2 linked regions of the Kluyveromyces lactis genome follow. The protein of the gene in region 1 interacts with the protein of each later gene in a biochemical or structural test. Links are inferred from orthologs where the notes say so. Each region holds a gene or a part of one and is shown on either strand. Other genes may lie near its edges.

Region 1 (4,385 bases):
GTTTGGACTCTTAAAATGCGATGATAATATTCAATTGAAAGAGTAATTTGGAATATCGGTCCAAAATAAAAAGGAAAGATTTTCAACGGGCGATAAGTGATTGAGCAATAATCTTCAAAACCCAGTCTAAAGCTATAGCGATCTAACTTTTGTGAACTCACTCTTTAATAAAGTATAATGAAACACCAATTAATTTATTGCCGTACAAGCTGTCTGGCAATGTGGTAGTTAATCATTTCCTCTGTCTTATAATCTTTGTTAATCCAAAATTCTTAAATTTCAATCTCAATAGAAAGGGCAAGATAAATCGTTTGAAACGATATTAACCACCCCTTTTCTCTGATAGAAGAAATCGCACAAAGAAGGGGACGTGGTGGCCTGTTCACATCGTTGCGTACGGTGTATTCGGGTAACTTATTCACGTGTTAATGTTTTGTTTTGGGTCACGTGAGTCGCCGTATATTTCTATCTAGGTGTCAGTGCCAGTGCCAGCGTTTGTATCGTCTGTATCATCCGAATCTATTTGAAACTATTTGAATAAATACACAAGTTAATTTACTCATCCCTTTTTCTTACCGAAAAAACTCTCAAGTGTACGTTGACTGGAGCGAGCCTTCTTTTTCTCGACTGGTGTTGCTGGTTTCTTTGACGGTTCTGCCGTTTTCGCTGATTTCACAGGCTTTGGTGGTTTCTTCGTTTCTGTAGCTGGTCTCTTAGTAACCATGTATCCATCTTCGTCTATATATGTGGTCTGTTCTTTCGATTCGTGGACTGGCTCTTCTTTTTCCTTTTCCTTTTCCTTTTCTGGTTGAGATAGTTCCATTAAGGATTCGTCTACCGTCGTGTCAAGTAGTTCTTCTAAGTTTGTGACAGTGCGGTCTAGATTTACTGGTTGTGATTCTTGTGAAGGTACTGATTCTATCGCTACAGGGTGGTTTACTTCAGCCTCTTCTTCGCTTTCCTCTTTCTTATCACGCTTTTTAGAATTTTTATCGAATTGGGCTAAATCATCGTCATCATCATCGTCAAACATCGAGGCCAGTTGGTCCAATTGTTTTTGTTTCTCTTGGCTTACCACGACGTGATTTTTATCCTGCTGCTGGTGCTTCCTCCTTTCCAATTCCTCTTGTCTGTTCTTCTCCTTCTCCTCTCTTTCTCTTCTCATTCTGGCCAGAAGTTCAGTAGATTTTAGACCCATACTCTTAGTTGGTTTCTTAGGTTTTGTAACAGCAACTTCTGGGAACGTCTTTGCCCGTTGCTTCGTTACGACCGGTTCTGCCTCAGACTTTTTCTTGGGGCCGGCCACCATTTTTTGAGTCACATCTTGGGTGGTTATGTTAATTACACTTCCAATACCATCGCTTGTCTGGGGCCGTGTGCCATTTTGATTGTGCAGCTTGTAGGGGTTCTTGATCGTAACGTGTGTTCTTTCTCTATTTGTCAAATCAATAGTTTCCAGTGGGTTGAACGCATAGATGAAGAAATCCTTTATGTCTTCCTTTTCCGGTAGTTTCTCGGGATCCGTAATCATTTGTATTACATTGTGCTTCAAAACACATACTACAATGCATTGGATCGACTCATGTCTCGTAGTGCTATAGTACTGTACCATCTCATTCTTTGCTTTGTTCACATTTATCGAAAACTCATCGCACAAGTCTAAAAATGTTACAGGTTTACAGTCATTGATGAGTTTCTGCGTGATAAAATTCTCTATCGCTGTTACCATATTTCGATGATGATCAGCTCGAGCTTGCTTGCTCTTTTTATTATTCTCTCTCTTCAATTCTCATCGCTCTGTGCAGATAGCACTAAATGATGATTGAGTGAAGTTGCGTCTTTTTTTTTTTTGGTTAGCACCGTTTACGCGTAACAAAGTGTTGACAATTAGACATTAAGGCTCAATGGGGGGAAGCTTCGCAATAGTAGTGAAAGGGTCGATGTATGATACTAATGATCACCCCATATAAGAATTGGGTATATAAAATTATTACATAGTATGTGAAAGAGAAGGAACCACTCTAGTTTTAACTCTATTTTTAATGTAGTTAGGTTAAACAGAAATATTTTGAGCATGATGTAGGGGAAAAGGCAGTGACAATTATCAGTAATAGGTGTTGACGAAGCTTTTTCTACAACAGGATTCAAACACAGGTATAACCACCGTCAACTTGGATATCACAACCGTTGGTGTAAGAAGCAGCATCGGAAGCCAAGTATAAGTAAGCACCGACCAATTCTTGTGGCAAAGCTTCACGACCCACTGGTGTTAGACCCCACCAGTGAGCACGTTGTTCAGTAGGAACGAAGGAGGATAGCAGAGTATCAGTGTAACCTGGTGATACAGAGTTACATCTGATCTTACCAGCTGGAGAGGTCAAACCAGAGAATTCGACGGCGAAACCCTTGGCCATGTGTCTTACTGCAGCTTTAGAAGCGTTGTAACAGGTTTGGTAGTTTGGAACGTTACTGATGTAACTAGACATAGAAGCAGTCAAGATCAAATTACCGTGGCCTTGGTTCTTGAATACTTCAGCAGCGTACCTGCTACAGTGGTAAGTACCTTGGACGTTAACGTCCATGACTCTGCGCCACATTTCTGGGGTGGAACCATCGTTCAAGATAGAACCGTTAGTCCAGGCAATACCTGCGTTAGCAATGAATGTGTTAATTGCACGACCTGGGAAATCTTCCAAGATTCTTTCAAAGACAAATTTAACGTCGTCAGCGTTGGTAATATCTACTTGGTATGACTTGGATTCAATCCCGTAAGTCTTGCTCAAATGGACGGAAAGTTCTGGTTGGAAGGTTCTGTCCAAAATAATGACATCTGAACCACAAGAAGCGAAACCCTCACATAGAGCGCCACCAATGGCACCAGCACCACCAGTAATAACGGTCAATTTGCCCTTTTGACTGAACAAATTGAGGTAATTGACACCTTGTGGGTACTGTTCCGTTGGAGGAGCTTGTGGAACGACGGTGTCTTCAGTTGGAGTCTTGATGAAACTTTGGAATGACATATCTGTGTCTGATGAGGTTAATTGATAGTGTGGATTTCGCTTGTTCAAATTTCCCAATTATGAACCCAATTGAGGGAATAAAGCATATTGCAAGCAAGATTGGAGCAGCAATAGGGTTGAAACTAAAAAGTTACAATTATTTATATATGCATAATTTGTATTTTCGTTTCTTCGGATAAACTTAGAAGTATTTCACTTGAAAAATTATATGGTTTAGAACATACAAACATCTCAGGAATCAAATCAAAAAAAAAAAAAGCTACCTTGCTTTGTGCCTTTCCACCCACCCCCCACACATGCACACATATATACCGTACAAGTATGTGTAATGCAACTGAGGGACAAGTCATCTATTTGATTCCTCAAGCCAGTGTCCTTCCTTTATTACTGCCCCGATGTATTTTTTTTCCAAGCAATCAATACGGATCCCTAAACATACATCACCTCGACTCAGCTTCTTGATCAGTGTTTTCCCACAGAAGCCGTTGTACCTGCAAGCGGCGGGAAATCCAAAAAAAAAAAAAAAAAAAAATAGCCTCGGTGTCATCTTTTTTCTTTTGAAACCGGTGAAACTTCAAGGTCGACAAATAAAGAAAAGGAAAAAAAGAAAATCCCAGATTTCCACAACAAGGAAGAGCTTGCTCGAATTTGGGACTGAATCGGCCTACAATGTACTAGCTCATACTGTGCCGATTCAGATTAGGTTTCAATAATGTGGGGAGGGAAGAATCCGCAAGAAAGAAAGGAGAAACGGAAGCAAGAAAAAAAGAAAACGGAAAAACTAAAAGCTAGGCTATGTATCGGTCGAAACAGGCAGCCCTTACAATAGTTCCAGGGGAATCGTACATATTCCCACCAATGAACCCACACTACACATGGGCCTTGGATGGTGTTTGAAACAATGAGCACTAAGAAATAACCAGCCGAGATCAGAAGAAAAAACGGTCAGTTGCTCGCTCTTTTGAATCGCCCCTTTCTGTATTCCACTATGCCAGGCTTTAAACCTGGGGTAAATTACAGTGTGCTAAGGGAGTAATTACTACTCAAAAATGAAAATAAAAAAATAAAAAAAAATAAGCTAAAATAGCGAGCATGGATTTGAATATTCGTTAATAAAACCAAACAGATTGCAGATTGCGCGGGCAGGGAAACAGTTTTTTGTTTGTGTTCATTTTCTTTTTTGTGTTCGTGGTTGTTATACTGATTACCCATGGGCACTAAAACCTCCAGAAATGAGAAAACAAGAAGTTTATCCGGGTGACGAGAAATATTAGATAAGCAGCTTGTAGTCGGGTAACAAAGTTTATGGAACGAGTTTCTACATTTGAAATTTTTCAGTTTATCTCGCATTTATCTATGTAT
Region 2 (7,046 bases), about 1.8 Mb from region 1:
TCTCTGGTACTTCTTTGTACGAACCATGGTCTTTGTCCATGTTTAATACCCTTTTCACTTCGTTGCCAGTCATCTGTATTGGTATGTTTGAGAAAGACTTAAAACCAATGACATTGTTAGCTGTTCCTGAATTATATACTATGGGTCAGAAATGTCAAGCATTCAACTTAAAAATTTTCCTTGTGTGGATGCTTACCGCTGCAGGGATATCAGTGCTTATTACATTTTTGAATTTTGAAATTTGGGGTTTCACAGCACAATCAGATAATTCCATATATCCAATTGGGGTTATAAACTTCACGTCAATATGTTTCTTGATAAATGTGAAATGTCAGTTTATCGAAACAAGAAACAGAAATTGGCTAGCATTTGCCTCTTTACTAATATCTTGTATCGGTTGGATATTGTGGTGTTGCCTATTACCTGGAATTTATGGCGAAAATGCGATATATGATGTTCTAATTGGTCTTTATCACCAGTTCGGAAGAGATATTACTTGGTGGGCCAGCTGTTTGATTTTGATTATGTTCCCTATGATGATAGATATCGTATGTCAAACATTCCGTGCGATGATATGGCCAACTGATGGTGATATTTTTGCAGAATTGGAGCAGAAAGATGACATCCGGAAAAAATTGGAATTTGCTGCACACAGGGAGTTGCATCAGAGCTGGTCTTTCCAAAAGGATCCAAGTAGTGTCAAGAAATATGCTATGAAAGCAGTAAATTTCAAAAAGAATGGTGCTGAAGATTCAAATTATAATACAAATGATAGATACGATATAAAAGACTTTGATACGGAAGAATACGAAATGCTACCCAGTGGTAAACTCATCCATAAGAAGCAGGTGACCAAAAAGAGTGTCAAATCGAAGTTAGGCAAAAAACTAAGATTTAAACTCAATTCTAAACCAGATGATTTTGAAATAAAACAAATAATTGAAAACAGAATGAGGGATCTCGAATGAACCGATACTCTTTACCAGGATATCCACCCTTTCTAAAGTTTCCGATGCGCTACGTTGAATAAGTTCTGTTAAATAGTAAGTTTGTAATATACATCGATAGAATTCTTTAATCATGTTTTACTATCTTTTTTATTGCTATGTGCTTTCTCCGGACTTCCGTTTATTTGGTCGTTTAATTTAAGAGGTATCAATCAGCCTAATAACAACCTTTCTAATAAGTTCAATAGAATGATGACTATGAATGGCGCTATGAGCATCATGAGTTGTGTATTCGGTTCCTCTTTCCTTTCTGCGGAGTTATCATTATGACGCGGCTGAGTACGACGAGCTCTTCTTCCGAACGGGGAATCATAATTCGTATACACTTTGAAGCCACCAGGGCCTCCAAATGAGTAAGTAGCGCCTCCTGCATTTCCAAATGGTCCACCGAACGGCCCCCCGAATGGATGCCCGCCAAACTGTCCGCCTGGACCACCACCTCTGAACAAGAATTCAAATATATCTTCTGGTGAACCACCGAATGGTTCACCAAATCCAGCATTCCCACGGAATCGTGGCCCCCCTGCTGCCGCCGCAGAGCTACCTCCTCTATACGATTCCTGTGCCGCAGCTCTGTCATCAGGATCATGGCCCAGCTGGTCGAAAATCCTCCGTTTAGAATCGTCTGATAGCACTTCGAATGCTCTATTTATCTTTTTGAACGCCTCGCTGGCCCTTGGATGTCTGTTCTTGTCTGGGTGTAATTTGATCGCCAGTTTCCTATATGCCTTTTTTATATCGCTCTCTGACGCTGACTTCCCAACTTTCAACATCTCATAGAACTCATGCTTATCCTTCGAAAGAATGTCAAGCGTTATCCGCTCCTGTTCTTCTGTGTATTCTGACATTTCCTAAATCAAACTCTGATTAATTGCAACTTCAAGATATCTCTCAATTAGCTAAAAAAAATTCGCAAAACTCACCGCTGGTCTATCACCTGTGGACTTATCACTGCAGATAGATTGTCTATCTCTTGGTAATATGTCTTCTTTCCTCTTATATGTATATATCCAGGGCAGAAAAAGTGAACCCAACAAAAAACCAACTGTTATATCTGATATAAACCGACTTTCTTTCTCTTGCTTCTCTATACTAACCCAGAATCCGTATCAAAGAATAGCTGAAGCTACAGGCCATTAGCTGCTTCGTTTGCGACAGTACTCCAGAACCAGTTTATCTCAGTTGGTCTATCAGTTCTTCAGCACTGTATTTTAATTCAAAAAAACCGTTAATCAGTATTTCATGTATGTGTGAACATTTTTCAAAATTCTTTTTTCTCTTTCTTGCCTTCCACAATGTGAAAAGCAGGAATTAGACCGCCAGCTGAATCGGAAAAACATCGTGTCACGTGGTCAAATTCTTGTCACGTGCCCATGTTTTCACGTGATATGCCATTCCCCAAAATTTCTTAAAAAAAGTTATTTTGACGCGTTCTGCTTGCTCATCACTTAAATATGATTCAAATATACCATCAGCAAATAAGTTATATACGCATCCAGGTAGCAAAGCAGAGAGGGATAGGATATAGAAGGTGGTTCTGGTCTCTGTAACAAGAAGTATTTGAGGAAACGGTTCTTCTGTGTATTGGGAAAGAAACCGAGACAGAAAGAGGGAAATGACCGTTGGTATTACGAGAGCTCGCGAAGTGGAAACGCTTGAGGATGCGTTCCAAGATATCAAGAAACAGAGGACCCAATCGTTTGATCGATCAGCGTTGAGCGAACCAGTATCCACAATAGAAATAATTCCTACTGACAAGTTCAAGAAACAGAACGTTTTAGGGTACAAGTCTAGTAAAGTTAATGATACGGTGGGGAAAGGTAACCCTACAGCTTTTGAGGAGGAACTTTCGCTTATGGATCATGAACTGGTGGAAAAGACAGAGTGTGGTCAGAGTAAAGTATGGTCTAGGGTACCTATTCCAGCGGATTTCAATGCAAAGACGAGCGATATTTCATTTCAACAATTGGATGCAGAGCAAGCGATGCTACCTGGTCAATACGATTCTAATACGAATATTGTCATAAGATTTTTTGGGGTCACTGACAAGGGTAATTCTATACTGTGTAACGTGACGGGGTTCAAACATTATCTTTACGTTCCTGCGCCCCTGGGTTTCCATCAGGAAAATATTTTGACACTTCAGCAGTACCTAAACGAGCATTATGAGAATAATGTGGATTCTATTAAGATTGTTCCAAAGCAAAGTATATGGGGGTTTTCAGGAGATGCAAAGATTCCGTTCTTACAGATATTTGTGAAGAACCCCAACCTGCTGAATAAGATTAGGACAGGTTTTGAGAAGGGATACATTCAGCCGAACGATAAATGGTTTGTTGGTGGTTGTACAACATACGACAACATTGCTTTCCCACTCCGGCTGATGATCGATTGTGGGATTGTAGGAATGTCCTGGATTACTTTACCCGCTAGTAAGTATCAATTGGTTCCAGTTAACCAACGAATCTCCACATGCCAGTTTGAAGTCAATATAAACTATAAGGATTTGATTGCACATCCTGCAGAAGGTGAATGGTCCCATAACGCTCCGCTAAGAATCATGTCTTTCGATATTGAATGTGCTGGTAGGCCCGGTGTCTTTCCAGAACCTGAACACGATTCTGTGATACAGATAGCTAATGTTGTTAGTATCTCGGGTGCTGCCAAACCTTTCATTAGAAATGTCTTCACCGTGAACTCATGCTCTCCCATTACCGGATCTCAGATATTTGAACATGATAAAGAATCAGATATGTTGGAACATTGGCGTGATTTTATTGTTGAAGTAGATCCCGATGTTGTTATAGGTTATAACACCACTAATTTCGATTTCCCGTATTTGATTGATAGGGCGGCTGCATTGGGGGTACAGTCATTCCCATATTTCGGAAGATTATCAAACGTAAAACAAGAAGTCAAATCATCTACTTTTTCGTCCAAAGCTTACGGTACCCGTGAATCCAAGAACATCAACATTGATGGACGTTTACAATTGGATTTACTGCAATTTGTGCAAAGAGAGTATAAATTGAGATCTTACACATTGAACGCGGTGTCTGCTCATTTCTTAGGTGAACAGAAAGAGGACGTTCATCACAGTATTATCACGACTTTACAGAATGGAGACAGTGAGACAAGGAGAAGATTAGCGGTTTACTGTTTGAAAGATGCGTATCTTCCGCTGAGACTTATGGAAAAACTCATGGCATTGGTTAACTATACGGAAATGTCAAGAGTCACTGGTGTTCCGTTCATGTATTTACTTGCTCGTGGTCAACAGATCAAAGTTATCTCACAGCTTTTCAGAAAGTGTCTGCAAATTCAAACAGTAATTCCAAACATGAGTTCACAAGGTTCGGATGAGCAATATGAAGGTGCGACCGTTATTGAACCGAAGAGAGGATATTATGACGTTCCTATTGCAACGTTGGATTTCAGTTCCCTATATCCAAGTATTATGATGGCCCATAATCTTTGTTATACTACATTGTGTGATAGAGCAACAGTCCAGAGACTTAATCTCAAACTTGATGAAGATTATATTGTAACTCCAAACAATGACATTTTCGTCACTTCGAAAGTTAGGCGTGGTGTTTTACCGGAAATTTTGGAAGAATTGATTGGGGCCAGAAAGAAGGCCAAATTTGATTTAAAGAATGAAACGGACCCCTTCAAAAGAGATGTTCTTAATGGTAGGCAATTAGCTTTAAAAATCTCGGCAAACTCTGTGTATGGTTTTACAGGGGCCACTGTTGGAAAGTTACCATGCCTAGCCATTTCTTCCTCTGTCACTTCTTTCGGTCGTACCATGATCGAAACTACAAAGAACGCCGTGGAAAATAAATACTGTATCAAAAATGGTGCATCTCATGATGCTGTTGTTGTCTACGGTGATACTGATTCTGTCATGGTCAAATTTGGTACCACAGATTTAGAAGAATCTATGAAACTTGGTGCTGAGGCTGCTGCATATGTTTCATCTCTGTTCAAGGACCCTATCAAACTTGAATTTGAGAAAGTTTACTTTCCCTATCTATTGATTAACAAAAAGAGGTACGCAGGTCTCTATTGGACTAATCCAAAAAAATATGACAAACTCGACCAGAAGGGTTTGGCCTCTGTTAGAAGAGACTCATGTCCTCTTGTCTCAATTGTTATGAACAAGGTCTTGAAGAAGATATTGATTGGTAGAAATGTAGATGGTGCTATGCAGTTTATCCGAGAAACTATCGATGATATTTTGCAAAATCGTTGTGATATCTCTAAATTGATCATTTCCAAAACATTGGCACCAAATTATACGAATCCGCAACCACATGCTGTGCTTGCTGAACGCATGAAAAAGAGAGACGGTGTCGGTCCAAATGTCGGTGACCGTGTAGATTATGTTATAATCGGTGGGGGTGATAAACTTTTTAATAGAGCAGAAGACCCGCTGTATGTGCTTGAACAGAACCTCCAGCTAGATTCTATCTATTATTTGAGTAATCAACTACAAAATCCAATTATAAGTATTATTGCTCCTATCATCGGTGAGAAACAAGCAAATTCGATGTTTATTGTCAAATCCATCAAACGTCAAAGTGGGCCAGTTGGGGCAGCCTCGAAACAAAAAGGTGGCTTGATGAGTTTTGTTAAAAAGGTCGATACTTGTAAGAGTTGCAAGCGCGTCCTCCGTAAAAATGAAGGGCCGTTATGCAATGACTGCTTATCTAGATCAGGAGAATTATATATGGAGGCCCTGTATGACGTAAGAACGCTAGAGGAACGTTTTTCGAGACTATGGACGCAATGTCAGCGCTGCTCAGGATCATTACACAACGAGGTTCTATGCTCTAATAAAAATTGTGATATATTTTACATGAGAGTTAAGGCAAAGAAAGAACTTCAAGAGAAAGTGATAGAATTAAGTAAATGGTAACATTTTTGGGATCTGTCTAGTGTAAATCTTTCAGGTACATAACGAACACATTATTTATTTTTGAAGATTAGATAATTCAGAGAAGGTTTTTGGTAGTCTACCTGGCTCTAACTGAGATCTTCTTTCATTACCCATCGTGACTTCAGCGTTATTGCTGGTGAACCATGGATGCGTAAGTGCGTCATTTACAGAGAACCTGCTTGCGGGATTCACAACTAGTAGATTAGAAATTAAGTGTAAGACAGAATCATCGATATTGTCCCAATACGGTGAGTAAAATGCAAACTTTCCTTGCAATATCTGCTCTTTCATACTAGGTGGGGCTAGCTGTTCACTGAATGGTGGAAATCCACACAAACAAACATATAGAAGAACGCCAGCACTCCACATATCTACTCTGGATGTATACCCTGTTTTGACTAAAACTTCAGGAGCAACGTAAGAAGGTGTTCCACATAGTGTATTGGTAAACTTCATTTCACCGGTGAATTTCGCCAACCCAAAATCTGCTATTTTAACTTGTATATCTAATTCGTCGTCATCCCAGGGCCCTAAAGCAATTTCTTCTGGGGAACGTCTTTTACTTATACTCAAGAGAATATTTTCAGGTTTGATATCTCTGTGAATGATATTTCTACTATGCAAGTATTTCAACCCATTTAGTAATTGCCTAAACAAAGCTTTAGTCTCATCCTCCCGAAGGTTATTTTTTCGAACAATCCTTTCAAACAATTCGCCATCATTGATCTTTTCAAGCACCAAATACGTTTGAATCTGTGTTTTGCTGACCGGTTCAACAAATCTATCTATGAGTTTAACTATATTCGGATGTTGGATAGATAGAAGGATCTTAGTCTCTTCTGTGAATTTTTTTGTTCTTTTGTCATCGTCATTTTGTTGAGGATGGAATATCTTTACCGCGACGGTCTCACCAGTTTCCTTATTCCTAGCCTCCTTGACAATCGCGTAATGGCCAGTTCCTAATTCTTTCCCAGCTAAGTATTTGTCGAAAAAGGATCTGGGCTGCTCCCTTGTTCTTGATAGTTTCTTGGTTGTATTTTGACTACTGAATAAAGGTTTTCTGAAAACCCCATCATAATCGCTGTTTTGCGTAGTTT

Evidence for each region.
Region 2: the proteins of POL32 (region 1) and POL3 form a complex in vitro, tested with the Saccharomyces cerevisiae proteins (3 studies listed by BioGRID). The link is inferred for Kluyveromyces lactis from reciprocal best matches to the Saccharomyces cerevisiae genes POL32 and POL3.

Annotation. Positions count from the first base shown.
Region 1 is NC_006041.1:1,995,531-1,999,915, reverse strand, and holds POL32 (DNA polymerase delta subunit POL32), read right to left. Parts: upstream 1,730-4,385; coding exon 560-1,729; downstream 1-559. Other genes in the region: KLLA0_E22397g (uncharacterized protein), read right to left, coding at 2,145-3,023. UniProt on the Saccharomyces cerevisiae protein: DNA polymerase delta (DNA polymerase III) participates in chromosomal DNA replication.
Region 2 is NC_006041.1:149,897-156,942, reverse strand, and holds POL3 (DNA-directed DNA polymerase delta POL3), read left to right. Parts: upstream 1-2,622; coding exon 2,623-5,928; downstream 5,929-7,046. Other genes in the region: aminophospholipid-translocating P4-type ATPase DNF3, read left to right, coding at 1-968; type I HSP40 co-chaperone HLJ1, read right to left, coding at 1,160-1,855; serine/threonine protein kinase DUN1, read right to left, coding at 5,983-7,046.